Macaca mulatta: one gene and its partners. The protein of the gene in region 2 interacts with the protein of the main gene of each other region in a pairwise test. Links are inferred from orthologs where the notes say so. Each region holds a gene or a part of one and is shown on either strand. Other genes may lie near its edges.

Region 1 (4,107 bases), on a different chromosome or scaffold from region 2:
TCCCTGTTGGCACACTCAGGATGAGGGCTAAGGGCAGCCCAAGAATTCAGCCTCTCTCTCTAAATGTCAACTGTTTTCAAGTAACGACAGGTCAGGGGTCCCATCTGTTCATTCTCCTCCACAGTGGCCCACAATATCCGTCAGGTGTTTATGTATCCAAAGAGAAGGCTACTCACTCCATCTGGTAAACCAACATACTCATGATGTAGTGGAAAGAGTCCCGGAGTAGCACAGGGGGCTGCCTCAATACACATTTACTGAGCGTCTAACAGTGAATGAGTCAAGTCCTTCGTAGGCACTGGCAAGGGGAAGATGACCAATACAAACGGCTGAACCTTGCTTTCAAGGCCTTCATAAAGCACTAGAGATGACAAACACGGTCCGATACAAAGGGTCAGGTTCAGGACTCCAGTCATTATTATCAAAGAGCCACGGGAATACAAAGGAAGGATTACTAGCGGGGGAAGTTCCTGGAGGGCATCACAAAGAGACCTCTGAGCTGGATCCGGAAGGACAGATGAGTTTAAGCTGAAAGTGGGGTCGGTCGTTCCCGCTGGCGGGAACCGAAGGAGCCAAGGCAGCTTTGGGGCGGAGACCAGGTGGCACCCGCGGCGCTGCAAGGACACACAAGCTGTTGCAAGAGGGTCAACCTCTCCGGGCCTTGGCTCAGAAACCTGGGACGATTACACCCTAAAAGCGCTTGGAAAAACTGCAAAACTCGTACTGCTTTTCGCCAAAGCTACTACCGTGCCGTGAGGGCAGGAAGTCCTGCGAGGCGTCTGCGAGGACGCAAACGCCGCGAAGCGAGTCCTCCACGCCTCCATCCCCGGCATAGTGAAGTGTAGACTCTGGCCCACAGCCGAAAGGAAAGACCCGGGTCGGGGAGGGCCCCTCCAGGGGCGGGCTCAGCCGGAGTCTGGCCGAGCTGCGCGCGGCCACAGTGGTTCCGCGGCCTCGCGCTGAGTGCCTCCCGCCGTCTCCCACTGCAGCCCCCACCGCCCCTCCGCAAGGCCCGGCGCCTCCCGCCACCTCCTCGGTCGCTGCGGCCGCTCCAGCTCCTCACAGCCGCTAAACCCAGGCCTATCCCGCGGTCGGTTCTCTTCGGCCCTCTTCGCCGTGACGAATCGGCGCCCGGCTAGGAAAGTATCCAAATTCGGAGAGTTTTGAGGAACCAATGGGGCCTGAAAAAAATCCCGGAGTGTGCTAAGCATCACCGCATCCTCACTAGAAGGTTTATTTTTTCCAAAGAGGGTCGGGTGGGGCCCGGAAAAAAAAAAAATTAAGAAGAGTGTGGAAAGTGCGAGTGCGGAAGCTCCGGACGCGAGGGGCGGGGCGTGCGCGGGACAAAGGGAAGCGAAGCCGGAGCTGCGGGCGCTTTTTCTGCCCGCGGGTGAGTGTTTCCAAGTGGGCCGGACCGGGTCGGTGGGGGCAAGTCGTGGTGTCCCCGCTTGGCTGAACTCCGAGTTCCCGGGGGTTGCTGGGGTTCAGGCTTGGCCGTGGGGCCACAGCCGGGAGCCGGTTGCGGCCTCCTTGAGGCCTAGCAGAGCAAGGGTTGGAAGGGAGTCCCATCTGGGGCCCCCTCCTTGGAGGCAAGGCCGGTCACCCGAAATTGGTCAAAGCACCTGTGCATACCCCGTTTTAGGGGAGTTGCTAGTAAAGTACGTTCTCCAAGACAATGAGAGTGACCTCAGGAAGCCCGCGGGCGAGGCAAGTCCGTGGTTCTCACCCCCAGGAATAAGGTTCCCCCATTGGTTCAGGCAGCGACCTGAGGACTCAAGATGTGGCTTATGGAGACGAGCAGCGCTCTGAAATAGTTTGGCCTGGGTTTGAAACCCAACTCTGGCACTTCCTGGCTGCATATGGCTTCAGACAAGTTGTTTAGACTCTCCGAGACTCCCTTGTTTCATCTGTAAAATGGGGATAGCTGTACATATCAAGTACTTGTGACTGTTAAGCGAAATAGGGTCATAAGCCTACCCCGTATAAAGTATTTCTTGAACAAATATTTATCGGGTATTTATTTTTATGCCAGGCACCAAGGATGGATCCAACGGTGGACAAATGTACAAGCCCACTCTTAAATTTTATGTTCTAGCAAAGGAGAACCATAATTTTAAAGTATTAACAATGAAGTATAACGTACAGGGAGCTTAGCTTATGGCAGTTGTCAGGGTGCCCTGCAGCGAGGCCTGCTGGATGTTGACAGCTCCCTTAATGTGAGCAGAAAGGAAATCTACACCAGAGTCAAAGGTTTCTGACTGTTCTTTAAGAGGGAAAGACTCAGGTTGGACCATTGAGAAAATGAACTGTTTCTTTCCACACCAGGACTCATTCCTTACGCTCCAGGGAATTTCCTTAAAATGAGTAATAGAAGTGAAAAATCGGATCTATTCCACATAACTTTAGATGCAAATACCTCCAATAGTCATAGAAGTTTATTTGCCTTCTTTCTAAAGATGAATTTTTGTCTTTTTGTACCTCACTATTTGTGATGTATGTTGATGTAAAGAACAAGCTCACATGTGCCTGATTATGTTGTGAGCTGGTAATACTAGGAAAAAATTTCCTAAGAATTGAGCTGGGTCCTGCCATGGTCCCTGTTTCCAAGTAGCATACAATCTAGCCATATTGACAAGTTAAAAAAAGTTATAATAATATCATAGATCTGTGTAAACTGTATAGGAATACAGATGGGGGAGCAATTAATTCTGCCCAGGTAATGTATCAAGAAAGTTCCATTGAGGAGAAAAATTTTGAAATGGGCCGTGAAGGGTGAATAAGAATTTTTCAGGTAGACTCTCAAAATTTATTCCCAGCATTTATGAAGCTATTTACCACTCTTAAGAGAATGCGAAGTTCATTGTCATACCAATTACCTTTTGCACTGCTTCCAGGAATAAAATGCTGCCCAATTTTAATAAAAATTGTTATCCCAAAAACATGGTACAGTTGCTGATCAAGGAGCTGTCAGTATCTGGTAGGCCTTGTTGGGTTGGACTCTAATACATCACTTTGTATTCTCATGCTTGTATCAGTCCGATGAAATGTTTACATGGCGTCAGCAAAATGTTTTCCATACAAGAGGTAGCTTAGTATCCCAAGAAAAAACCTGAAAGTACATTTCTAAATATCCCCAGTACTTTATTTTAGTCATTTAATTCTAATCAACCAAATCTCCTATAAGAACTAGTTAAAATATGCAAAAGGCTTAATTACTAGGAATTAAGGTGAAGTAGTTTTACTCAGAAATACCAATTAAATTACCCTATTCATTAGGAAAACATTCTCGTATGCTTGCTGAGTTTTGATTCTCTTTTTTTTTCCTTTTTTTTTTATTTTAGTGTCTCAGATTCATTCTTAAGGAACTGAGAACTTAATCTTCCAAAATGTCAAGTAAGTTTCAATTTTTATATTTATCGATCTATGTTAATAAGAGACTAATGCCCTAGCAAGTGGGAATTCCAAAATACTCTCATTTTTTTTTCTTCAAAACAGGACCATTGGTAGTTTTGTTGCATAGTATTATATCTCAGTTGTTTACAAGAAGTTATTTATTTTCTTTCAAACAGAAAGACCATCTTATGCCCCACCTCCCACCCCAGCTCCTGCAACAGTAAGTTTTAATTTTCTTGTTAATGTAATAGCCAAGTCTGGCCTTGATACAAAAACCCAGATGTCTTCCAGTGACAGTCACTCAATCATCACAGCAACAGGATGAAATTCAGCTTAAAAGAAAAAAAAAAAAAAAAAAAAAAAGCATTTCCTACTAAATAAAATAATTATTTGCATCTTTCCTTGAACCAACCCCAACATTTAAAGAAACAATACTGTAAAACTCCAACCTCCTATGCTCAGTTTGTTTTGTTTTTTTCTTTGTAAATGGGAAATAAGTGAAAGTTTTACCATTTCTTTCTTATTAATCTTCACTATTAAGAGTCTTTAAGTTGTTACTGAATGAATGCTCATTCTGGCTTTTTTGTTAAACCTAACCTTCAACTGGTTATGTTTTTCTCTCCTTTCTTGTCTCTCTATAAAATTTTCATATTAAACAATAAAGCTTCTGAAACTATACTCATTGTAAGTATTTTCAAGCTGTTCAAGTAAAGA
Region 2 (3,930 bases):
CTCCCTAGAGAGAGCTACATACAGACAGATTCAACATCAAATGTGTATATCATTAGGCCACACATTCTTTTTGTTTTTTGGTGTTTTTTTGTCTTATTTATTTTTTATTTTTAGGCCACACATTTTAAGTGGAAAGGTTGGAAGAACAGAGACTTCTCAATTCTGATTTAAGGGCAAGAAGTTTGAGGGAGGAATGGGCATAGAGAGAGCTGAGCTTCCAGTATCAATATGGTGAGGCCAGGTGCTAGTTAAAATGCATTTATTGAGTGTTAGGTATACTTTATGAGGAGTCTGAGAGAACAGTACATAAATAACATAGTGCCAGCCTTTGGAGACATTGTCTACCAATATCATGTGAAGTTTAATCTAGCTTGGAACGTGGCTCCTGAGGCAGCTGTCTCTCTGACACCCAGGACCACAGGAGATTGTTGTTGTTGTTTTTAGAGACAGGGTATCACTGTGTCACCCAGGCCTCAATGCAGTGGCTGGATCATAGGTCACTGCAGCCTTCAACTCCTGAGCTCAAGTGATCCTACCACCTTAGCCTCCCGAGTAGCTGGGACTACAAATGCATGTCACCACAGCTAGCTAATTATTTTCTGTGGAGACGAAGTCTCGCTTTGTTGCCCGGGCTGGTCTTGAACTCCTGGGCTCAAGTGATTCTCCTGCCTCAGCTCCCAAAGTGCTAGGAGTATAGGTGTGAGCCACCATACCTGGCCTTTTCTTTATTTTCTTTCTTTCTTTAAGTATCAGGGATCTGTAGGCTAGGGAAATTGACTTGCCAAATGTCCTCTAGCTGGTAGCCAAACTAGAAATAGAGTCTCTGTCTCCTGACACCCAGTCTAGTGCTCCTTCTTCTTCATTGTGCTGCTGCTTCTAATGTAATCCTACTCTAGAGCAAAATGGCAGAATGCTATCCCAGTACATCTGGGAAGACACATGAAACAACAAGAATAAGAATGTTTACAGACAATACGACAGCATGGCCAGCTCCCATAGCATGTCCTCTGTAAAGGCTTTCTTCCATCAGAATGAACCCACACTGCCACAGTGCTGGGTCTCTACTTCTAGTTTGCACTTCTTCATCTTGCCTCATACTATGCTTTACCATCAGTTGATGGTCAATCTATCTCCCCTCTTAAGATTTTAGATTCCTTATTAATTACAAATTTAAGTCAGGATTTGTCTTATTCATTATTGTTATCCTCATCCCTAGCACCTAGCACACTGCTTTATTATCTAAGCACTGCAGGAACTAATAATTGCTTGCATAAAAATGAGTAGGTTCTGGAAACTAGGGCCGAAATAGGGTAAGGAGTTTATTCCAGTGAAGAAGGGTCACTAGCAAGCCAGCCTGAGAAAACAGCGAGGATGGATCCCTACCTGCCTCTCCGCCCTGGCTCCTGCCTGTCACTGGAAACATCCTGTTTCCACATGGTCACTTGAGGTCTCTGGGTGTCTAGTCGCCTCTCTGAGACATCTTGATGGCCTGGGGGTTGGACCAGGGGAATGTCTGAGAGCCAGGTGGGAGCCATTCTCGGCAGAGTTGAAAGGGGCCGAGCTTGAAAATGGGAGGGAGGAATCAGCCCAGTGGAACCTGAAGAATTACAAAATCAAAGATGGTCAGTTTCCCAGGCAGAGACAACCACCACTCCCCTTGTCTGGTCCCACTGACCTGAAGGTGGAAACATCTCCACATTATTTGAAGGCTCTAGATTCTGTCTCCAGCCATCTATGTTCCCCTGGACAATAGGAGAAACAAAGACACTCCAATTCAATTTTCAGGCCACCTTCCAAAGAGAAAGCCCCTACAATAACAAAGTCATAATCCTTGAATTACAGCCAGGTCCACCCGATGCTCAGCTCTTTTCCTACTTCCCCAAAGAAGTAGGAGATACCCCAAATTCACTTGCTTGTCTCAACCTGGTTCCTCAGGGAACCCAGGCAACTAACTATCAAGTGGAGAGAATTTACTGAAAAAGACAGACCGAGAGGGGCTCTGAGGCTTTACTCATACTTTCAGGATTCTGGGCAGTGCCTTTACCCTCCTCCTTAAGTTTCTATGGTCCCTGCTGCCCCTGGCCAGAGGTGAGAAAGGAGGTACACAGTGCAGGGGTCTTGAGCGCCATCTCCAGAGTTCTCTCCATGGCTCAGCAAGGCCTGGGGGAATCCCATCCAGACACCACCAGGCCATGACTCTTGGGTCCTTCCCTATTAAAGTGCTGGCCCAAGGCCTGGCCCCAGCTGAATGTGGCCACATGCAGGGCTAGACCCTTCCCAAGACCTTGGGAATCCAAGCAGCCTAGATCCCCAGGCAGAAAAGCCAGCGTCCTGACATCTCATCCAAATCTTTCCTGCGGCTGTCCTCTCAGCTTCTCTCTACTATCCCCTCAGCTTCCATGCCTGCCGCCCGCCTCCTCTTTCTCGAGTCCTAACACATAGTGGGCACTTTAAGACCTTCCCCCCACCCTCCCACCCTCATTAATCTATTTTTTACCCGAATCTGGGATCCCTACTCCGGTCCCTTTTTACATCCTAATCTACTTTTTTCTGAAGGAATTGTTCTGGTCCTCACCCTCACCCCCATCTCTCAATAGTCTGCTCTCGCCCCCTGTACGCTAGCCGGCTCTGCTCTCCCCCCACTGCTCCCCTAGATACCCAAGGCTGTTCACCCAGTTGGCCCCTGAGCTCTAAGGCTGTTCTGATCTCCTCATCTACCCCTTCACCTGGCCCCTGTTCCCCCTTCCCCTTTGGACCCCTTGAACCCTCCCAGCACCCCCGCTCAGCCCCTTCCCGCCCACAACCGACTCTTCCCGAACGTCCCTTACCCACCGCGAGAACCCCTACTGCGCCTTGACCACACCCCCTACGCCTCGCTCCGGGCCCCGCCTCTGCCTCGGCCTCTGACCGCGCCTGCGCAAGGCGGGCGCCCTAAGGTCCTACCTCACTGTAGGGAGGAGGAAAGGTGTACGCAGGCGCAGTGGCGTCTAAATCTGGGCCCACAGAATGTGTCGACGCATCTCCGCGCCCAGGCGGCTCCTCCCCACTGCGGGAACCCGGGAAAACTTGTGAACTAATCAGAAAAAGCGGAAGGCGGGAGATCTTAGGGAGCCGTCCAATGGCGCGGAAGAGAGCAAATGAGCTGGCCAATCAGAAACGGCACGGGGGCGGGCTCGCTCGGCGCGAAGTTCGGGCCCGGGAATTCCGAAGGAGGGGTAGGCGCTGCCCGCGCGCCGAGGCCGCGCCCCTCCTGGCCCCGGCTTCCTGGCTGTCAAACAGCTGCAGCAGTATCGGCTCCAGCCGAGGAGCCCAGGGGGTCCCGGGACCCGCGGCACAGGCTGGCACTGCTTGAAGAGGAGGCTACTCGGAGACTGCACCCCGCTGGTAGATCCGAAACGGGGCTGGGGCCGAGAGGGAAAAGGCCGGGTATGCCTTGCATGATCGCGGGGAGCCCCTTCCTGTTTTTTTTTTTTTTTTTTTTTTTTTTTTTTTTTTTTTGAGACGGAGTCTCGCTCTGCCGCCCAGGCTGGAGTGCAGTGGCCGGATCTCAGCTCACTGCAAGCTCCGCCTCCCGGGTTCACGCCATTCTCCTGCCTCAGCCTCCCGAGTAGTTGGGACTACAGGCGCCCGCCACCTCGCCCGGCTAGTTTTTTGTATTTTTTAGTAGAGACGGGGTTTCACCGTGTTAGCCAGGATGGTCTCGATCTCCTGACCTCGTGATCCGCCCGTCTCGGCCTCCCAAAGTGCTGGGATTACAGGCTTGAGCCACCGCGCCCGGCCTACCCCTTCCTGTTTTTATCCCACCTAGAGAAGCCGGGAAGTAGGGGTTTAGGTCCAATTTGTTGGAGTACTTAAGAACTCGTTTGCACTTCCTTTTGGGGGATGACAGTAGATTCATTGCCCTCGGAGGTTCAAACTAGTTATGAGTGA
Region 3 (3,500 bases), on a different chromosome or scaffold from region 2:
ATTCTGATGACCAAATTACTATAAATTTATTTACCAACAATTACAGTAATTCGGTCATCAGAATCCCTTGCACAAATGATCAAACTAAGTTTTGTAAGTAACTTATGCACAAGTCTCCTTGCCTGGAATCTAAGGCACAGCCTTTATGCAAAATTCCATTCTACAGTGAAAGAACAATGAGGATGTTGTAGAAATTAGCTACAAATACTCCTAATTATTTTGTTGTAATATTAATATAAACCGAGATCCAAAATGCTTCGGGAGCAAGAGAACCAAGTTTATAAAATAATTTAAAATGTGAAGAACCATGTCAGGCTGCACAGCTTCTCTATTAGTCATAAAACTTTTTTCTGTTTGTTTTACTCTTAGGGGCTAGTTAACAATGAATAGTTTAATTCCTTTAAGCTCCAAAATTATTTCTATGCCACTGATGTTGTTCAGTGGAGCACTCAGAAACAAAAAAAAGCATGTTTATATTTGTGTACATGTATTTTTATTTTTATGCTCACTAAATGTTTACAATGAACTAGGTACTGCTTTTAAGTACTTTACATATACTAACACTTAACTTGCAACACCCTATGATTTAGGTACTAAATGCTGAACTTTATTAAACATAAAACAAGGTCTTCAAGAGATATTTGTCAAATATTTCACAACTAAAAACAATGATATAAAAAGCTAAATATGTAAAATATATAAAAACAACTGAGACAACTATGTTATGCTATCTCTTAGATATAAAATGCATTACTTGTCAATAGTGGCTAGAATTTGCATCTGTGTCTATACAGATAGTTCTGATTGGTCAAATTTGGAAGTTTGATTAACATTCTATGTAAGAAAATACTATGAGCTTACACATTATCTTTTGATTGTAAAATAAACAAACTTTCACTTCCCATATTCAATTCATCTACTGGTCTAACTTCAAAATAGGTCCCAAATTCAAGCATTTCTACCTTCACATTATGACCCTAGTCCAAATTACCATTGTCTTTTCGTTCCCACTCCAATAGTGCCTCCTAACTGGATTTCCTGGTTTCTATTAGACTCCTACAATCTGTTTTCGGCATTATAAAACAGTACTCTTTTTCACTCTCTTAAAACTAATGTTTTTTCTACTCCCCTTAGAACAATATTTGACCTACAAATGCACACTAAAATATTTTGTAAATCAAATCCCAGATGTGTTGGGGGTGGGGTGGAGAGAGCGAGCAGAGTGGGATTATGTATGAACAATATTGATCATGAGTTAATAATTGTTGAACCTGCGTCATAGGTACACATGGGTTCATTATTTTATCCTCTCTGTATTTGTGCGTATTTGAACTTTTACATCTCTCCATCCTCATCTCACACCTCTAGGTCTTGGTCAGCACTGCAAATGAGGTGTGTCCCACCTCAGGGTCTCTACACTTGCCTAGAGTGCTCTTACCTAGCTCTTTTTCATCCCCTCTAACATTTACTTGGAGTCCTAATCCCCACACCTCTTAAAAGTCAACTACAACTTATAGTGTGTCCTCCTCCTCCTTTTAAAAGCTTCCTTTCTTGTTTTAAACTCCATCTATTTCATAATTCTTGGCCCAAGGGCCAGCTGGCTTCTTCAACCCTTAGTTCCACTCCAGTCTCTTAACACAGGCCGAGTTTGCTTCAAGCTCTGACTATTTTCCAAGGCCATTGTCTCCTCCTTTTAATTAAGAGCAAAGAGATTGCCACCATACTTTCTAACTTACCCCTCTGACCTTTTCTATTCCTCTCTATCTTACTAGGAATGGTCTACATGCTTTCTCTGCTTCGTTTAAAATTAATCTGGGAATTGGCGCTGAAGCAGAGTATTGGTATTATTTTAGAAAATGATATAGTAACTTGAGATAGAGGAAAATACCAAAATGTAGTAATTAAGAGCAAAATATGGGTTTCCCAGGGTGGAGAGCCACGTTTTTTTACACTGTCATCCTTGGGCACAGATTTTATCACTCAATATGAACAGGCATTTCTCAGTTCTTTGCCCTTCAACAACAATAAAATGGGCATGCCAGAAAAAAATGTTAAGATATGTACTCTACAAAAACTGTCAAAACAATATCCATCTATTTAATACAATTAAAGTACTTAAAATATTAATTCCTATAATTAAGATTATGTTCTAAATTATATCTTAAATGTGAAATAAAAAGACACACATCACATGATTTACCTCCAAGAGGACAAGGAACAGATCTACCTGTTCACCGTTGTATTCCCAGCATCTAGCACAGTGTCTTTATATACTGGACACTCAATATTTGTAGAATGAATAAATCATCTACTAAATTCCTCTCCAAAATCTCTATTGTTCCTAATACTACAGACACGCCACCTTCTCCTCAGCAGTGCAACTTTACCAATTTTTAGAAATATGTGAAAAGATCACCTATAGACAAATACCTATGTTCAGATACGCAGGAACGTGTCTGGCAAAAGTCTGAAGTGGAAGGTGAAGCAGGAAGAGATTTAGTAAGTTTAGACATGCAAACTGGAGACCCATTAGATACATTGTGAGGCTTCTTTTGCGGCTGCCTCGAGTGCACTGTAAGATTGTCCCGATCAGAACCTGTTGTAAAACAAGGAAGGGAAAAAGGCAGTACATACAGTGAGGCATTAAATATAGTGAAGGTAAATCATCAGGATGATTCATCTGCAGTTCTGAGTGAGGTAAGAGATGGAACAAATTCAAATTAATATCATTAATCTTGCTATCTTTGTTGCATAGTCCACATGTTTCAAAGGATTTTTTTTTTTTCTTTTTTTTTTGAGATGGAGTCTTGCTCTGTCACCCAGGCTGGAGTGCAGTGGTGCGATCTTGCCTCACCACAAGCTCCACCTCCCGGGTTCACGCCATTCTCCTGCCTCAGTCTGTAGCTGGGACTACAGGTGCCCGCCACCATACCAGGCTAATTTTTCTGTATTTTTAGTAGAGACGGGGTTTCACTGTGTTAGCCAGGATGGTCTCGATCTCCTGACTTCGTGATCTGCCCGCCTCGGCTTCCCAAAGTGCTGGGATTACAGGCGTGAGCCACCACACCCAGCCAAAAGGATCTAGTTTTAAAAATATTTCTAGGCTGGGTGGGGTGGCTCACACTTGTAATCCTAGCACTTTGGGAAGCTGAGGTGGAATGACTGCTTAAGCCAGGAGTTCGAGATCAGCCTGGGAAGTATAGTGAAAGTTTGTCTCTACAAAAACTTTTTTAAAATTACCTGAGTACGGTGGTGTGTGCTTATAGTCTCAGCTACTCAGGAGGCTGAGGCAAGGAGGATTGCCTAAGCCCAGGACGTTGAGGCTGCAGTGAGCCGAGATGCACTCTAGCCTGGGTGACAGAGCAAGACTCCATTTTGAAAAAAAAATTCTAGATGTAAATTTTCAAAAACTTCACATTATTACAAACTCACAACAAAAGTCACTTTGGGTATGCACAGTCCCCCTCTCATCCTCACTTTGACTACAGTAAATAAAATAT
Region 4 (3,500 bases), on a different chromosome or scaffold from region 2:
AACCCCGTCTCTACTAAAAAGTACAAAAAACTAGCCGGGCGAGGTGGCGGGCGCCTGTAGTCCCAGCTACTCGGGAGGCTGAGGCAGGAGAATGGCGTGAACCCAGGAGGCGGAGCTTGCAGTGAGCTGAGATCCGGCCACTGCACTCCAGCCTGGGCGACAGAGTGAGACTCCGTCTCAAAAAAAAAAGACCACAATCTTATTTCAATTATAGGGACTTCTAGACCTGCTTCCAAAAATATATATTAACTAGTGAATCAAGACTCAAAAAACATTTGAGTATGAGGTGAGAAAAACTATATAGCAAGATTATATAACATTATCACTAGGGACTAAAAGAAAACTAAACTCAATAATGAGAAATCCAAAGGATATTACTTCTTCTAAGAAATTCAGTTTTTTGCCATCAAAGTGTTTCTAAGGAATGCTGGAAATGCTAATTAAGAGCATGTGTTCAAATTAACTATACAGCCTAGTGTAGTTCCTCCAGAGAACAGGTCTCCCTCAATCTCAGCAAACGTCAATGAGGTCAACATCTGTGCAGCCAGTATTTATAGTTCTAAGTAATTTAGGTTAATATTAAAAGATATATGTATGTTAGTATTAAATTATCAAATACATTCTGATAATTTGGGTTGAACAAATATGTCTATGTGATTCTCCTGTGTTCTCTTCCAAACCAGTCAAGAGCCAATCCTTAGTCAGTGGAATGGGTGACAGGTGGAAAAGTAGAGAACCAGAATGATGAAAAAATTAACAAGTGTGTTGGGTCAATTATAAATAAGAAAGAGAAGGACTGTTCAGGTTCTGGTAAAAGTATTATTTTGGTAAAGTGCATCACTTAGTAGTTACCTTCTTATATACCATACACTTGGATTAGTAAATCAATGTATAAAGTGCAACTTTTGCTTACGTGAATAAATATTTCTCCTTATGCATAGTTATGTCAATATAATGTCAATATAATTCATGATGAACTTCATAAAGCCCAAACCAAAAAAAACCATAAATACCATAATTTTATAATTTGTTTCTCACCATTAAAACTGACATACTGAAAAATATTAGTGTGATAGGTAACCTTTTATTTCTAGATATTTTAATTATTTTATAACATTTCTGTCTCTGATAAAAATACTACAAACCACATACATTAAGAATGTAATCAATAAATTATATACTTCATAAAAGTCACAATAAAATGTTCATAGGCATATGGATAATAATATATCTTATATATCTTGACAAGTGAGGCTCTTTCTACTTGGTATAGCAAATACAAAATGATTTTATGAAAATCAATTGGACATAAAACTATTAAAACAAGGCTATAAAAGCATTGCTCTCCAAAATTTAAATCTATCCAATAATCTTGTTTTAAAAATTGTGCTGTTTTAGTCTAGAGAGAGTCTGGTCCTTTAAGAAATGAATCCTTAATCTGAGGTACTTGTGAACTAAAGCCATAGTTGGGTAAAAGGCTGAGAAAAATTTATTTTAAAGTATGGATATGAGAGCAAGAAAATAAAAACAGTATGGACGTTTATTAAAAGCGGACTCTTGGCTCTTCCTTGTTCTCTTTTGAGGAATGAAGAAAGGCAAGAGCCTGGAGAGAGGGAAGGTTACTAGAAAAGCGATGGCCTTCCCTTTAACAAACTCCAACAACCTAAAGGAGGAGATAAACTGATGGCAAAAGCAGGAAAAATTAAGAAGTCACTAAGAGATAAGTACTATTTTAACTCAAAGCAAAACAAAGATTTATGTCAAATTACTGGGAGGGACACCAAGAAGAGTTTCAAGGCAAAATGGTAAAGGAAAAAAATGGGGGAAAAAAGGGAACCCACTGTTAAATTATATCTTGGCTATTTTTCTTTAAATTATTCCAAAATAATTATAGTTTTAGCAGCTGATATAGCATATATACAGTTTTTTAGAGCTATGAGTTTGATAAATCAAAGAGGAAACCGGAAGTAATGGCTAAAAAGCAGCTGGGCTCAAACAGAAAACTGTCATCTGGAATCTTAGGCAAGAAAAGTCTATAGTTCAAGTTGTATGACCTGATATGACTTCTTGGTATCCTTTCTTGTTTTTTTTGTTTTTTTTTTTGTTTTTTGAGACAGAGTCTCACTCTGTTGCCCAGGCTGGAGTGCAGTGGCGCGATCTCAACTCACTGCAACCTCCACCTCCGAGGTTCAAGCGATTCTCCTGCCTCAGTCTCCCCCCAAGTAGCTGGGATGAGAGAATCGCTTGAACCCGGGAGGCAGAGGTTGCAGTGAGCCAGGATTGTACCACAGCACTCCAGCTGGGGCAACAGAGTGAGACTCTGTCTCAAAAAAAAAAAAAAAAAAAAGTAGTAAGTATCCTCCCTTTTTTGAAAGAAATATTCTTCTGAAAGCCAAAACCACAAAATCAAATGACAGAGTGACAGCAAATGTCAACTGTAATTTTCAATGATATTAATAGCTAAGGACATTGCAAATAATCAGTTCCTATACTTTCTACGGCATGAGGAATTGAACAATAAAAGTTCTGCTTACCATTCTCAACATGGGCAAGCCTGTGCATGAGAGGTAGCCAGACAAGGCACTGGGGAGGAGGGTCAGCCATCATCGTGTCTAAAAACATATTTAGCATTATCTTTCTCTGTAAAAAGAAGAAAAACAAATATACTTTAAATTTTTAAACAATTTCCAAACTCCAAGTTTAAGTTAATTTAGGATTTTTCCCATCCAAGCTTTAGTGAATTATATGGTAAATTTCACAGCAAAATAAAATATTTCACATTTCTACAGACACTACTACATGCTGTACTTTACACTACTACTATTAGTATATTTAAATGTATTTCCACATACATTATTTTATTTTAGTCAACTATATAAGGTAAACTAGGTTAGATATGACTATCTTCACTTTACAGATAGGAAAATAAAGCATTTAAAGGTTTTGTAGTGGCCTGGCCCAAATCAGACACAAATCCAAGACTGTCCTTCGAGTTACTATTTCTGCTACCCAGTGGGGGAGAGAAGACAGCCCACACCCGAGTATAAAGCAACATCAACGAGAGCGGGCACTGTGGCTGGTTGTCCACCATATTTCTAGCTCTCCTAACAGTGCCTGACATGTATCTGATAAGTAACTATTGAAAAAATAGTCGTAATTTGAAGGGCAAACACCTAGACATCATTTAACAACTTTCTCATTCACAGAACAGAAAAGAGAAGCTTAAATAATTTGATAAAATCACAGAGGTAGTTATGATAAGGATGAGATTGGAACCTACATGTCCAAATGCCCATCACAATGCTCCTGTTATACCATCGCCCTAGCTAGACTGCATTTGTCTGTTCTATCTTTATTTCTCTTTTTAACAAATATATAGTAAGCTTCCACTGTATATGAAACACTGAAATAATATGTCCCACGTAGACACCAAATTAGAAAGCAGTCTAGAAAGATAAGATAGAAATAGAGTTATATAATATAGAGAGAACAAATTCTCC
Region 5 (4,002 bases), on a different chromosome or scaffold from region 2:
CTGGTATCCCCCAAGGTGCCTCTGGGCAAGACCTATACTCAAGATGAATCCTCAGGTGTGAGGGTCAAGTTGAGAGGCAGCCCCTCCACCTCCCAGGCCCTTCCTGGACCAATGTTGCACATGGTAGCCTCCCACCATTGCCTGTGGGCAGGCTGGTGCCCGCTCAGCATGAGACACTTGCACAGGATTACCTGCTTCTTCTAGGCTGGCCTCTGAGTAGCAGGACAAGTAGTCAAGAAAGGAGACAGTGAGTGGATCTTTCGGTCAAATGGGGTAACAGTTACAGTTTGGAGATTTCTCAAAAGTTAAAAACAAAAACAAAACAAAACAAAACAAAACTGGCCGGGAATGCTGGCTCATGCCTGTAATCCTAGCACTTTGGGAGGCTGAGGTGGGTGGATCACTTGAGGCCAGGACTTCCAAACCAGCCTGGTCAACATGGTGAAACCCCATCTCTACTAAAAATACAAAAAAATTACCTGGGCGTGGTAGTACATGCCTATAATCCCAGCTACTTGGGAGGCTGAGGCAGGAGAATCATTTGAAAATGGGAAGTGGAGGTTGCAGGGAGGCGAGTTCGAGCCACTGCACTCCAGCCTGGGCGACAAAGTGAGACTCCATCTCAAACAAACAAACAAACAAAAACAACCAAACAAAACACTATCCAGGTGGCTTGTGAAAAATCAGCCTTTCCGTAATAAGAAAGCATTGCCTGTCAGCAGGTAGAGAAAGAAAATATCTGATTGTAGAGGTTTCATTGGATAAACGCTGGTGCCCTTTCAAATGTATATTATTAAATACCTGTTTGAAATTTTCTACAAGGTCCACCTTGTTTTTCCCTGCTGCATGTCACAAAGTCTCCTCTCCCCTAGCTGAGCCATATGAAGCCCCTCCTACTCTGCTGACCACAAAGCAGCTTTCAGGGGAAGTTTTAGGCTGTACTTGTGTGTAAAAGAAAGCCTGCTATTTTAATGCATTAAAAAAACTGGGGTTTGGTGCTGGCCCCCAGCCTCTGGTTGTGAGCACCCGCTCCTTTACTGCAATGCAGTCCCTATAAATAGCAAAATGTTGTCTGGATGATGATTGTTTGCTTTGTTTTAAAATTCTGAATCTCTGGTCTTACTTTATCTAACATCAGCAGCCCTAGGTTCGTCTGGGACCCCTTGTGCCATCTGTCCCTCTTAGGGGGAGCAGGTTTGCCCATACTGAATGTGCAACGTGCAATACTTCACAGAAAGTCCTGGAAAATGGACCAGCGTCCTTCCAGGGGCCTGGTGTTGGCAGCAACTGCCAAGTCACATGGGTGTGGTGGGGATACACGTGTGTTGGGAGGATGGCCTCACACGCCCCCTCCTAGGCAATCTCTTTCAGGCAGTAAGGTATCCTAGAGAACCAAAGCCACAGGCTTCCATTCGAAGTTAATGGTGGTGGCCCCAGAAAGACAATTCACATGCCCAGTTCCTGGCTTTTTATAATAAGAGACAGCTTGGGATCTGGGTCGGCAGGCAGTGAGGACAAACCCCCTGCTGAAAGGCTGCTTCAAAGCTCTGTCCAACCAGGCCTCTTTCTCTGTCTGGCAGCTCCCTAGGGACACACAACCTGGTTAGCTGGGGGTTGACTGGGGTCCCGAAGGGATGCACCCTAAACTTCCGTCAAAGCCTGAGCCCTGGGAAGGGCTGGCGCTCTGAGCTGCAGGAAGAGGGGCTAAGATGAACTGAGGGAAGGGCTGTGTCCCGGCTTAGAGGCCTGGGGGTCAAAGGGAGGAAGAAAGGGAATTAAGGGAGGAGGGGAAGGGAAAGAAAGAAGCCTTTTGGGAAAACTCACCCTCCATAGCTTGCATCCCTCGTCGTTCCAGGGAGCCCCAGCGTTGGCCCTTCTTCCTCTCACAGCCCTCAGAGGCCTCATAGGAGCCTAGAGTGGTCACTGTGGGTCCTGAGAGCACGGAGAAAGGAAGGGCTGGGGGATGGGGGACTGGCTGCGGGCTGGGGTGCAAAGAAGGGGACATGCCTTCCAGCTCCTCGGGGCTCTGGGATCTGTAATCCCAGTGGAGGTGCCTGACTCACTCTCCCGTCTCTGCGACTCCTCTCTCTCTCCACCACCTCTCATGCTCTGCCTGCGGAGACCCCAGTCCTGACGCCCAGCCTCCTCAGAACCCCCTGTTCCAGGCCCCTCTTGCTTGCACAGAAAGAGGGGGTGTGCGTATTTAGTCCAGGGAGACAGGGAGGAGAGGGGCAAGACAGAAAGAGGGCGGGAGCCAGTGAAGAAGAGGCTGAAAGGGTGAGGTGGCCTACGGAGGGAGGGAGGAGTGGGGGGCGTGTGGGAAGGGGTAGGGCAGCGACCGCTCCCCTCCCCTCCCCTCTCATTCTCTCGCTGGACCTTGCCCACCCCACCCTCGCCCCGCGCTCAGGAATCTCCGGGGCTGCAGGAGGTGCGGGGTCTGGAGCCCCGAAGGCTGGAAGCACCGTTGGACTGGAGTGGAGAGACGCGCTGGGGAGGGACCACCAGACAGGATGCGGCCGGTGCGCTGAAGCCCCAGCCCCAGGCCGGAAAGATGGAGACCGGGCCCCGGTGGAGGCCAGGATGGAGGGAGGAAGACTCTGGGCGGAGAAGGGGGAGCCGCGGAGGCCAGGAGCACCTGGGGGTCTGGAGGGAGGAGGGATGGAGGAGAGAAAGGAGGGGCGGTGGAGAGGTGAGGGAGGGGCGGCTCTGACCTGGTCCCGGGCAGCTCCAGCCCGCGGCTCCCGCGCCGGCTCCGGCGCCCGCCTCCATGACCGCTCCCGCCGCCGCCTTACGCCTCCCCGAGCAGAAGCCGCAGCCGCGAGCCCGGGGACCCGAGCCGGGTGCGCAGGAAGGGGGGGGGGGCGGGAGAGGGGGCGGGGCCTGGCCGGGCCTCCTGACACCGCCCCCCGCCGCTCGCCGCCGCCCGGAAGCCCTCCCAGCACTCGGGAGCTCCGAGCCGGTGCAGGGGGCGGCTTGGGAGGGTGAGCGCGACCCCAGATACGCCCCAAGTCTCTCCCCGAGGGAGCGTGGGGAGCTGCGGGGCCCGGACAGTGTCAGGAGCTCCTAGGCTTAAGGCTGTCCCAAGAGGGAGGAGCGAGATCCCCTGGTTCTGGCAGCAGATCCCCCCGGGATCTGCTGTGCGCAGGGACCCTTCTGCACCAGGTGTCAGGGCCCAGTCATGCTCAGCAATGGGGACAGCAAAGGACGAGGTGGGACTGTTTCCTCCAAGCGCACAGACACGCGCGCCCCTCCCTCCTTCCCTCCCCCGCCCGGCCGGCGCCCCCACCAAGCAGTCGGCGCGGACTCCGGCCTCAGGCCCTGCTCAGCCCTGCCCGGTGGCCCCTCGGCAGCCTGGGGGCCGGAGGAGGGAAGTCGAGGCCCTGATGGGCGAACGGCAGGGCCCTGACCTTTCCGCTTTCTGCGACCCCCTACCGAACCAGGGCCAGGGACCCTCTTAGGGGGGCCCTCCGGTGGCCCCACCAAGCCTCAGGGCCCGAAGACCCCCTCTCCTCCGCCCTGCCTTCCCTTCCGGTCCCACACCAGGTGGGCTGTGAGCCACGCCCCCACTGTAGCCCGCGAGAGTGGGCACGACTGATGTTCACTCTCGTGGAAGGGAGATTTGGAAGCCCAGGGGGCTTATTTCACGTCTTCCACCATTCTTTTATTCAAGCTATGTCCACTGGGTGCCGGCTTTTGAAGAGGCAGTTCTCACATCTCGGCAGGTCTCAGCAAGGATAGAAGTGGGTACAGTTCGCAACAGGGGCTCCCCAGCACATCCAGGAAATGGCTGGGAGATTCCTAAGCCAGGGACACACGCAGATCCCTTCTCTAGCACATTCACTCACATTGTCTGCGTTCCCCCCGCTGCAGGAAAGGGGTCCGGATCCAGACCTCAGGAGAGGGTTCTTGAATCTCACGCAAGAAAGAATTCAGGGCAAGTCCGTAGAATAAGGTAAAAGCAAGTTTATTAGGAAAGCAAAGGAATAAAGAATGGCTACTCCA
Region 6 (3,500 bases), on a different chromosome or scaffold from region 2:
CACACACGGACACGCGCACACACGGACACCCGCACACACGGACACGCGCACACACGGACACGCGCACACACGGACACGCGCACACACGGACACGCGCACACACGGACACCCGCACACACGGACACGCGCACACACGGACACCCGCACACACGGACACGCGCACACACGGACACCCGCACACACGGACACGCGCACACACGGACACCCGCACACACGGACACCCACACACACGGACACGCACACACACGGACACGCACACACACGGACACCCACACAAACCTACTTTGATGACATCTCTCCCCCAAACAACCCTGCCACAGGTTTCTAGCGGCACTAGTGACCTATCGCCACGGTGCTAGACACCTCAGGAGTGACAGGGAGGGAGGGCAGGTTCTACAGTGGACTCAGGAGTGAGAGGGAGGGAGGGCAGGTTCTGCAGTGGAGGCCTTTTCCAATGGGGCGCTCTTCTCCTGCTGAAACGACAAGCCATGCTTCTACACTTCTATACAGACAGGCTTTTGTGTTCTTTAACCTGCCAGAGTGTGTCATGGACCTAGGAACTACGATAGCCTGCCCTTCCTTTTGCAGGCGGTACACAACATCTTGGTGTTTATCTGGTCAACAGGTCGGCAGGAAGAAAGGCCAGAGGTAAAAAGCCAGGCAGGCCAGAAGCCAGAATCGAAGCAAAGCGGCCAGAAAGTGAAAACACAGCAAAACCCACAAAAGAGTTCTCCTCAGGAATACAGCAACTAGAAAGAAAACACCAGCACCAGTAGGTTCCTATTCCAGTGTGCATACACAATCTACTTATCACATAAGCTAAACACTCACACGATAGCCACTTCACAAAAGCGTTTTTCTTAATGGAAAAGGCACAATGTAAAATGTCTATCATTTAAAACCAACACTAAGTATCCGCAACTGTTCTGATTGGGAAGCACAGCCACTCCGGGTTCAGCTCAAGAAGTAAAGCCTACAATTGCATCTCGGATGCTCTCAAGGGACAGGGGTGCAGCCAGTGTGCCCAAGGCCCGTTCCTGGCTTCAGCTCACCCTGAGGTCCCCACATCTCTTGGCAATCCCTGCCCAGGTGCTCTGCCTTGGGAGGCAAGTGGCAGGCAGGAGTAGCGACCCTGAACAGACAGTGTCATCCTTCCCTCCTCGTGACTGTTCTTAAGGGCTTCCACATGCACAGGCACCTGTCCAACCTATCCATTTATGGTTCATGCCTGCTCTCATGTAAGGCACCTGAGGCCCATCAAGAAATATGACTCCAAGGAGAGACTAATAACTACTCTAGTAGAGGGTCATTATAAGTTGTAGGGAAAAATAATTAGGCACTGTTTCCAACATTTATGAAGACTACCCTAAACATTCTCCATATCATTTAGGGGAAATGGCTACTTTCATGTAAAACCGTCCAGTCATTCCATTTACCATTCCAGTATAAAAACAAGGGCTGCCTCAAGTCTGCCTGAAACTCCTAAGCCTGAGGAAAATCAATTTTATATTTACTCCACCCGAGGAAACCCAATGGTTAGAATAAGGTTCTGATTTCAGCTGGGCGCGGTGGCAATCCCAGCACTCTGGGAGGCTGAGGCAGGAGGATCACTTGAGCCCAGCAGTTTCAGACCAGCCTAGGCAACACAGTGAGACCGCATCTCTTCCAAAGAAAAAAAAAATTATTTAAAAAATTTGTTAAAAAAAGAATAAAGTTCTAATTTGTATAGTGAGGTTTCAGAATGTGTTTTTAATACAAAACCCTTAATGAAATGTATATACCTCAGGGTGAAATTCTCTTAAGGGACAGAGATCAACCAAAACATTCCACCACAAGGAGAAGAGCCTTTTCACAGTGCACTGTGTGTCAAATCTGCTCCTTTATAAATGGGCCACAATTATTGGGGATGGCAGAAAATGCCAGCTGCTTTAAGAAATCGTGAACATTTCTAGAGTTGTACCTGTTCTGCTTTCAGAGAAAAACAAGCAAGAATGACCTCTATGACTCAAAGCAGAGACAGTGGCAGGGGATCATGGGTGCCTGTTGGCTGCTTCAGTAACAACTACCTTAGGCAGCACCGTGAGCATCCCAGGCCACGGGTCCTAACAGTGACCCATATTAAGGCATACTTGTACAACCATGTATTACCATGCAGTATTTAAAAATAAGTAAATTGAGGTAGAATAATATACATGACATGGAAAGATAATGGCAATATAAGTCATGATAGGCACATTGCAAAGCAATATTTAAAGTAAAATCCCATAACTGTGTTACAAACAACTTAGAGCAGATGCATAAAAATAGGATTTGACATGCCTTGGAATAACTGTAAGGAACGCAGAAACAGTGTGAAGGCAGGAAACAATGACTTTTTAGTTCATATACTTCTATACCAACTGAAATTTTTTGCATTAAGGATGCTTCAGTCTTAAGACAATTTTATTTCAGTCTTCAAAACAGCCTTAACTTTATACAAAAGTTGTATCTCCTAAACTGTATTTGATCCAGTGCCTAAGTACTTCAGGGCTTTATATTTCTCCAAAATTCTCACAGGGGATGTCTGTTGTACAGTTTGCATATATTTAATTGTGATGCTCTCTTCTACCCCAAAAAAGTATTTGCAAGTCTGCCAGCCTGTAAGCACCTGGAGAACAGGGACCTTATCACAGTCGTTTTGACTCACCAGAGCCTCACACTGCTGCCTTTCAAGAGTCTGCTTCCCAGGACAGAAGCCTCAGATTCAGCGTTCCTGGGGCAACAGACTCCACGGGGACTAGAGGACAACAACAGACATCATGTCCCCTAAGATTAGAATGGTAACAGGCTGCAGGCAGGTTTGCCAAGCTGAGTTTACCTTTTCAAGGCTTCATTATGCTCACTTAATAATGTCACTTTACTACTCAAAAAATTATCACTTAAAACATTCAGGACTTACCCTTTGTCGAAGAAAGATGTATGCCCTGATCGAGAGAACTTTGTGCCATTGCCATTCAGCACCCCACAGTTAACATTCCCTGAAATATAGGATTTTCGTGATGCTTGGTCCTTTGCAAAATTCCTGCAAGCTGCTAATTTGGATTCTAAAGCCTACAAAAAAAAAGAAGGAATGATACGGTTGTCAAAACAGTAGCTGCACATAAAAATTTGCATTTCAAACCATTTCTATTTCAAGCCTCAAAACCTACTCATCTCAGTTGATAATGGTGGTTAGTTCAGCCATGATCAATCAACTTTCTAATAAAAAGGCAGAATACTTATGCTCCCTTTCTAATGAGCTCAGAATATTTTATTTTTTCCTCTTAGTGTTACTGAGGGAAATACACGTAATCTTCCCCTCACAAGTAAGAAGAGTGTGGCACGGGAGGTCGAACAGCAGACCCCAGGTCTCTTGTCCCATCCGTTGTTCGTTTCTAAATTGTAGACTGTTGGTTGGTGTTAGGAGCAGGGTGTGTTTGGGGAGCAAGCACTATTAAAAAACCCAAAAATATCACTTGAGA
Region 7 (3,752 bases), on a different chromosome or scaffold from region 2:
CAGCACCCCTCCCAGGTGGCCCCGCAGGGCCAGGCATGCATCTGGCCGTCAGCTGGCCTATGTGGGGTCTGGGCCAGGCCCCTCACCCCAGTGCCGGACAATGAGTCTCAGGGTAGTCCTGGCAGGGCGATACCATTTTAATGGTGGGGAAATAGAGGTGCAGTTGCCTGCAGCTGGTGGAGGGCATTTTGGGGGACAGTGGCAGGTAGGTAGGTTTGGGCAAGGAGGCTTGCCTGTGAGGAGTAACCAAGGGGCTTGGGGGACAGACGCCACACGAGCATCTTTGGGGACAGGCCTGGCTCACTGGGGCCTTTCCTTCTGCCCCCAGGGGACCCCTGAGAACCCAGGTATCAACCAGCGGGCCCTGCAGCTGCTCTTCTCCGAGGTGCAGGAGAAGGCGTCTGACTGGGAGTATACCATCACCGTCAGCGCCGCGGAGATCTACAACGAGGTCCTCAGGTGGGAGCCCCAGGGTATGCAGAGCAGGCCTCAGGGGCAGCTTTGGGGTCCTCCGGGGTGGTGCTGGAATGAGGTCCTCAGGTGGGAGCCCCAGCATGTGGGGAGCAGGCCTCAGGGGCAGTTTTGGGGTCCTCTGGAGTGGTGCTGGAGCAATGGGGGATAGGAAGTGGGGTCTTCCTGAAGGGAGTACAGGGAACAGATGAGGCCATCAAGGGACCTGGCTGCAAGTCCTGACTCAGCCCATCGGTTTGGGTGGTCCTGTGGGGAGGAGGGGCTCTCTCTCAGCCTGCCCTAGCCCAGACCCAGGCAATCCTTGCCCCTACCTGTGGGCTGCACCAGGTGGCTGTGGGTGAGAGTGGGCAGCTGGGGGCCCTGCCCACAGGGCTCATTGCATTGTGGAGTGAGATCTCTGCGTCAGCTGAATGCGGTGGAGGAGCTGGAGGAGGAGAGATGCGCTCAGCTGATGGCTGAAGAAGGCTTCCTGGGTTGGGGGAACATTCCTGGCTGGGGGGCTGGGTGCAGTGCAAACAGCAGCCAGAAATGGGAGGAGGGCGTGACTGTCTCACCTACCCCTCCAGGGACCTGCTAGGGAAAGAGCCTCAGGAAAAACTGGAGATCCGGCTATGCCCAGATGGCAGTGGGCAGCTGTATGTACCAGGGCTGACTGAGTTCCAGGTGCAGAGCGTGGACGACATCAACAAGGTGTGGAGGAGGGAGCCCCTGACCACAGCCACGCTGCTCTAGAGGACAGAACTGGGTTTGAATGTAGGCTCTGCTGTGTCCTAAGCACGCACCCTTGGGCAAGTCCCCACGCCTCTCTGAGCCTCAGTTCCCTCATCTAAACTGCAGAGGGTGGTGCCAACTCCTCACGGGTGCTTGGGGCCAGGTGACTCTGAGGACCCCATTCTCAACGCTGTGCCTCTGCCCTCCCGCTCCCAATCCCCCAGGTGTTTGAGTTCGGCCACACCAATCGCACGACGGAGTTCACCAACCTCAACGAGCACAGCTCCCGCTCGCATGCGCTGCTCATCGTGACGGTGCGAGGCATGGACTGCAGCACGGGCCTCCGCACCACGGGTGAGAGTGGCGGGCAGCCTGGCCTGAGGATCCCCACAACCACAAGGGGCATGGCAGGCCTGATCTGCTGGGTGCCCTCCCTGCAGGGAAGCTGAACCTGGTGGACTTGGCTGGCTCCGAGCGCGTGGGCAAGTCGGGGGCTGAGGGCAGCCGCCTGCGGGAGGCACAGCACATCAACAAGTCGCTGTCAGCTCTGGGGGACGTCATTGCTGCCCTGCGCTCCCGCCAGGGCCACGTGCCCTTCCGCAACTCCAAGCTCACCTACCTGCTGCAGGATTCACTTAGTGGTGACAGCAAGACCCTCATGGTGGTACAGGTGAGTGCCTTGGGTTAGGGCGGGCCAGTCCCTAGAGTGGAGGGGCTGCGCTAGCAGCGAGACCCGGTCACCCCAGGCTGTGCAAAGGAACCCTTGTCTCAGCAGCTCCATAGTCAGCAACAGCCCCCAGCCCCAGACCTGGCCACACACACCCTGTGTGACTCCCAGTCCCTCCTCTCCACCTTTGACCACGCTACCTCTGCCACCTTGCCTGCCCTCTCACCCCATCTTTCAGTCCTCTCCAGGAAGCCTTCTGACATCCCCAGCTGTGAGCTCCCTCTGTTGGCCCTGCTGTCCCTCCAGCTGGCCTGGTTGGGCAGTGAGCTCTTGTGTCCCGTAGGTGTCCCCCGTGGAGAAGAACACTAGCGAGACGCTCTATTCTCTCAAGTTTGCTGAGCGGGTGCGCTCTGTGGAGCTGGGGCCTGGGCTACGCAGGGCAGAGCTTGGGTCCTGGTCGAGCCAGGAACATCTAGAGGTACGGGGACTGTCACAGGCCTGGCTCAGGTGGCCCTGGGTCAGAGACTTTGGGTCATGGCAGGAGTGGGGAACTGGGCGGGGACGTCCTGAAGCAGTGGGGGCGGGGAAGCTGCCGGAGGTGGGTGGAGCTACAGCTGGAACCCACAGCCAGGAGCCTCTTCAGTACAGGTAATTCTTCTTGGCCTCAGAGGTTCCTGTGGGGTGACCAGCTGGCCGTGGGGGTGGCACACAGTAGGTACTAGTTGTACCTAGCACACAGTGGTAACTAGTTGACTTCTTTATATGTATTATCTCGTTTAATTCTTACCATAACTGAGGCTGGGGCACGAGCATCATGCCCATTTTGCAGATGAGGAAACTGGGTGTTAGGAGGTTAGGAGGCAGGGCAGGGGAGTAGAGAGCAGCACAGCAGGGTGGGGAGCCAGGGCAGCCGTGGCCCACGCCCACCCGCCCTTCCCTGCTGACAGTGGGAGCCGGCTTGTCAGACGCCACAGCCCTCAGCACGGGCCCACTCAGCCCCCAGCTCTGGGACCAGTAGCCGCCCTGGATCCATCCGGAGGAAGCTGCAGCCCTCGGGTGAGCCTGGGGTGGAAGTGTGGGTGGGGGAGTCTCCCCAGGATAATAGTCACCAGGCTGCCCTTACCTGGATTGGCTTTCTATTTTCTTTCCTTTTTAAAAAGTTCTTACAACTTCTTCAGAACCTGTTTTACAACCTCCCCTGCCCCCAGGCAGTCGTCAGGGCAGACAGTGCTGTGTTCAGTCTGCAGGTGGGAAATGAAAGGTCCGTGGGGAGGGGTAGTGTAAGGAGACCCCAGCCTCCCAGCTTGGGGTGCTGACTTTACCCTGGGACCCTGCTCTCTGAGGGTGGGCTGGCTGGGCCTGTGCAGTAAGCCCCCTCCAGAGCAGTCCCTGCATCCCCCTCCCTGCACCTCAGCTGCCCTGGGGATAGAAAGGGCAGGGCTTGCCTACGTCCTAGGTGAGGAGTGAGCCCCACCACAGGACTGGGATCCAGGACTCCAGCCCCTGTTTAGCCCAGATCATGGGAAGGCCTGGCCTGTCCTTGAGTCCAAAGGGGTAGCAGCAGCAGGGTCCTGTGGGGTACTGGCCTGAGGCAGGCCCACCAGTGAGACGCCTGTCACTTTGATTTCAGCCTGACGGCTGGGGCTGCAGCCTCTAGGTGAGTGTGGGGCCAGTGGCCCAGGGCTACCCGCCTGCCCGCCGCCATGGGTTGCAGGGCTGCGCTGGGACGTTCTGCTGCTCAGGGCTGGGTCTGGCCTCCGCTGGTGTTGTCTGTCTGCTTCTGCTGGGTTCCCTCCTGCTCTTGGTGGCACCTGTTGTGGGCTGCCGGTGGGCGAGTGGACAAGAGGCTGATGATCCCGGTGCCCCTGCAGGGAAGTCGCGGCCACTGCCTGTGTGACGGATG

What was found.
Region 1: the proteins of CCHCR1 (region 2) and SMARCE1 interact in binary tests that used the Homo sapiens proteins (3 or more experiments, as listed by UniProt). The link is inferred for Macaca mulatta from reciprocal best matches to the Homo sapiens genes CCHCR1 and SMARCE1.
Region 3: the proteins of CCHCR1 (region 2) and SSX2IP interact in binary tests that used the Homo sapiens proteins (3 or more experiments, as listed by UniProt). The link is inferred for Macaca mulatta from reciprocal best matches to the Homo sapiens genes CCHCR1 and SSX2IP.
Region 4: the proteins of CCHCR1 (region 2) and DTNB interact in binary tests that used the Homo sapiens proteins (3 or more experiments, as listed by UniProt). The link is inferred for Macaca mulatta from reciprocal best matches to the Homo sapiens genes CCHCR1 and DTNB.
Region 5: the proteins of CCHCR1 (region 2) and CCDC136 interact in binary tests that used the Homo sapiens proteins (3 or more experiments, as listed by UniProt). The link is inferred for Macaca mulatta from reciprocal best matches to the Homo sapiens genes CCHCR1 and CCDC136.
Region 6: the proteins of CCHCR1 (region 2) and NDEL1 interact in binary tests that used the Homo sapiens proteins (3 or more experiments, as listed by UniProt). The link is inferred for Macaca mulatta from reciprocal best matches to the Homo sapiens genes CCHCR1 and NDEL1.
Region 7: the proteins of CCHCR1 (region 2) and KIFC3 interact in binary tests that used the Homo sapiens proteins (3 or more experiments, as listed by UniProt). The link is inferred for Macaca mulatta from reciprocal best matches to the Homo sapiens genes CCHCR1 and KIFC3.

Annotation. Positions count from the first base shown.
Region 1 is NC_133421.1:65,026,263-65,030,369, reverse strand, and holds the start of SMARCE1 (SWI/SNF-related matrix-associated actin-dependent regulator of chromatin subfamily E member 1), read left to right. Parts: upstream 1-1,307; 5' UTR 1,308-1,390; intron 1,391-3,341; 5' UTR 3,342-3,386; coding exon 3,387-3,393; intron 3,394-3,569; coding exon 3,570-3,613; intron 3,614-4,107. UniProt on the Homo sapiens protein: Involved in transcriptional activation and repression of select genes by chromatin remodeling (alteration of DNA-nucleosome topology).
Region 2 is NC_133409.1:151,906,701-151,910,630, reverse strand, and holds the start of CCHCR1 (coiled-coil alpha-helical rod protein 1), read right to left. Parts: upstream 2,801-3,930; 5' UTR 2,261-2,800; coding exon 2,045-2,260; exon of another isoform or gene 2,018-2,044; intron 1,809-2,017; exon of another isoform or gene 1,743-1,808; coding exon 1,676-1,742; intron 1,598-1,675; coding exon 1,384-1,597; intron 674-1,383; exon of another isoform or gene 644-673; intron 1-643. UniProt on the Homo sapiens protein: May be a regulator of keratinocyte proliferation or differentiation.
Region 3 is NC_133406.1:155,917,551-155,921,050, reverse strand, and holds part of SSX2IP (afadin- and alpha-actinin-binding protein), read right to left. Parts: intron 2,597-3,500; coding exon 2,431-2,596; intron 1-2,430. UniProt on the Homo sapiens protein: Belongs to an adhesion system, which plays a role in the organization of homotypic, interneuronal and heterotypic cell-cell adherens junctions (AJs).
Region 4 is NC_133418.1:99,430,193-99,433,692, reverse strand, and holds part of DTNB (dystrobrevin beta), read right to left. Parts: intron 2,641-3,500; coding exon 2,535-2,640; intron 1-2,534.
Region 5 is NC_133408.1:168,425,033-168,429,034, reverse strand, and holds the start of CCDC136 (coiled-coil domain-containing protein 136), read right to left. Parts: upstream 2,801-4,002; 5' UTR 2,770-2,800; coding exon 2,712-2,769; intron 2,301-2,711; exon of another isoform or gene 2,107-2,300; coding exon of another isoform or gene 2,064-2,106; intron 1,933-2,063; coding exon 1,825-1,932; intron 1-1,824. UniProt on the Homo sapiens protein: May play a role in acrosome formation in spermatogenesis and in fertilization.
Region 6 is NC_133421.1:9,963,356-9,966,855, reverse strand, and holds part of NDEL1 (nuclear distribution protein nudE-like 1), read right to left. Parts: intron 3,091-3,500; coding exon 2,939-3,090; intron 1-2,938. UniProt on the Homo sapiens protein: Required for organization of the cellular microtubule array and microtubule anchoring at the centrosome. May regulate microtubule organization at least in part by targeting the microtubule severing protein KATNA1 to the centrosome.
Region 7 is NC_133425.1:53,369,769-53,373,520, reverse strand, and holds the end of KIFC3 (kinesin-like protein KIFC3), read left to right. Parts: intron 1-116; exon of another isoform or gene 117-328; coding exon 329-459; exon of another isoform or gene 460-636; intron 637-782; exon of another isoform or gene 783-895; intron 896-1,029; exon of another isoform or gene 1,030-1,037; coding exon 1,038-1,161; exon of another isoform or gene 1,162-1,199; intron 1,200-1,406; coding exon 1,407-1,536; exon of another isoform or gene 1,537-1,622; coding exon 1,623-1,852; intron 1,853-2,192; coding exon 2,193-2,327; intron 2,328-2,603; exon of another isoform or gene 2,604-2,796; coding exon 2,797-3,165; 3' UTR 3,166-3,252; downstream 3,253-3,752. UniProt on the Homo sapiens protein: Minus-end microtubule-dependent motor protein. Involved in apically targeted transport. Required for zonula adherens maintenance.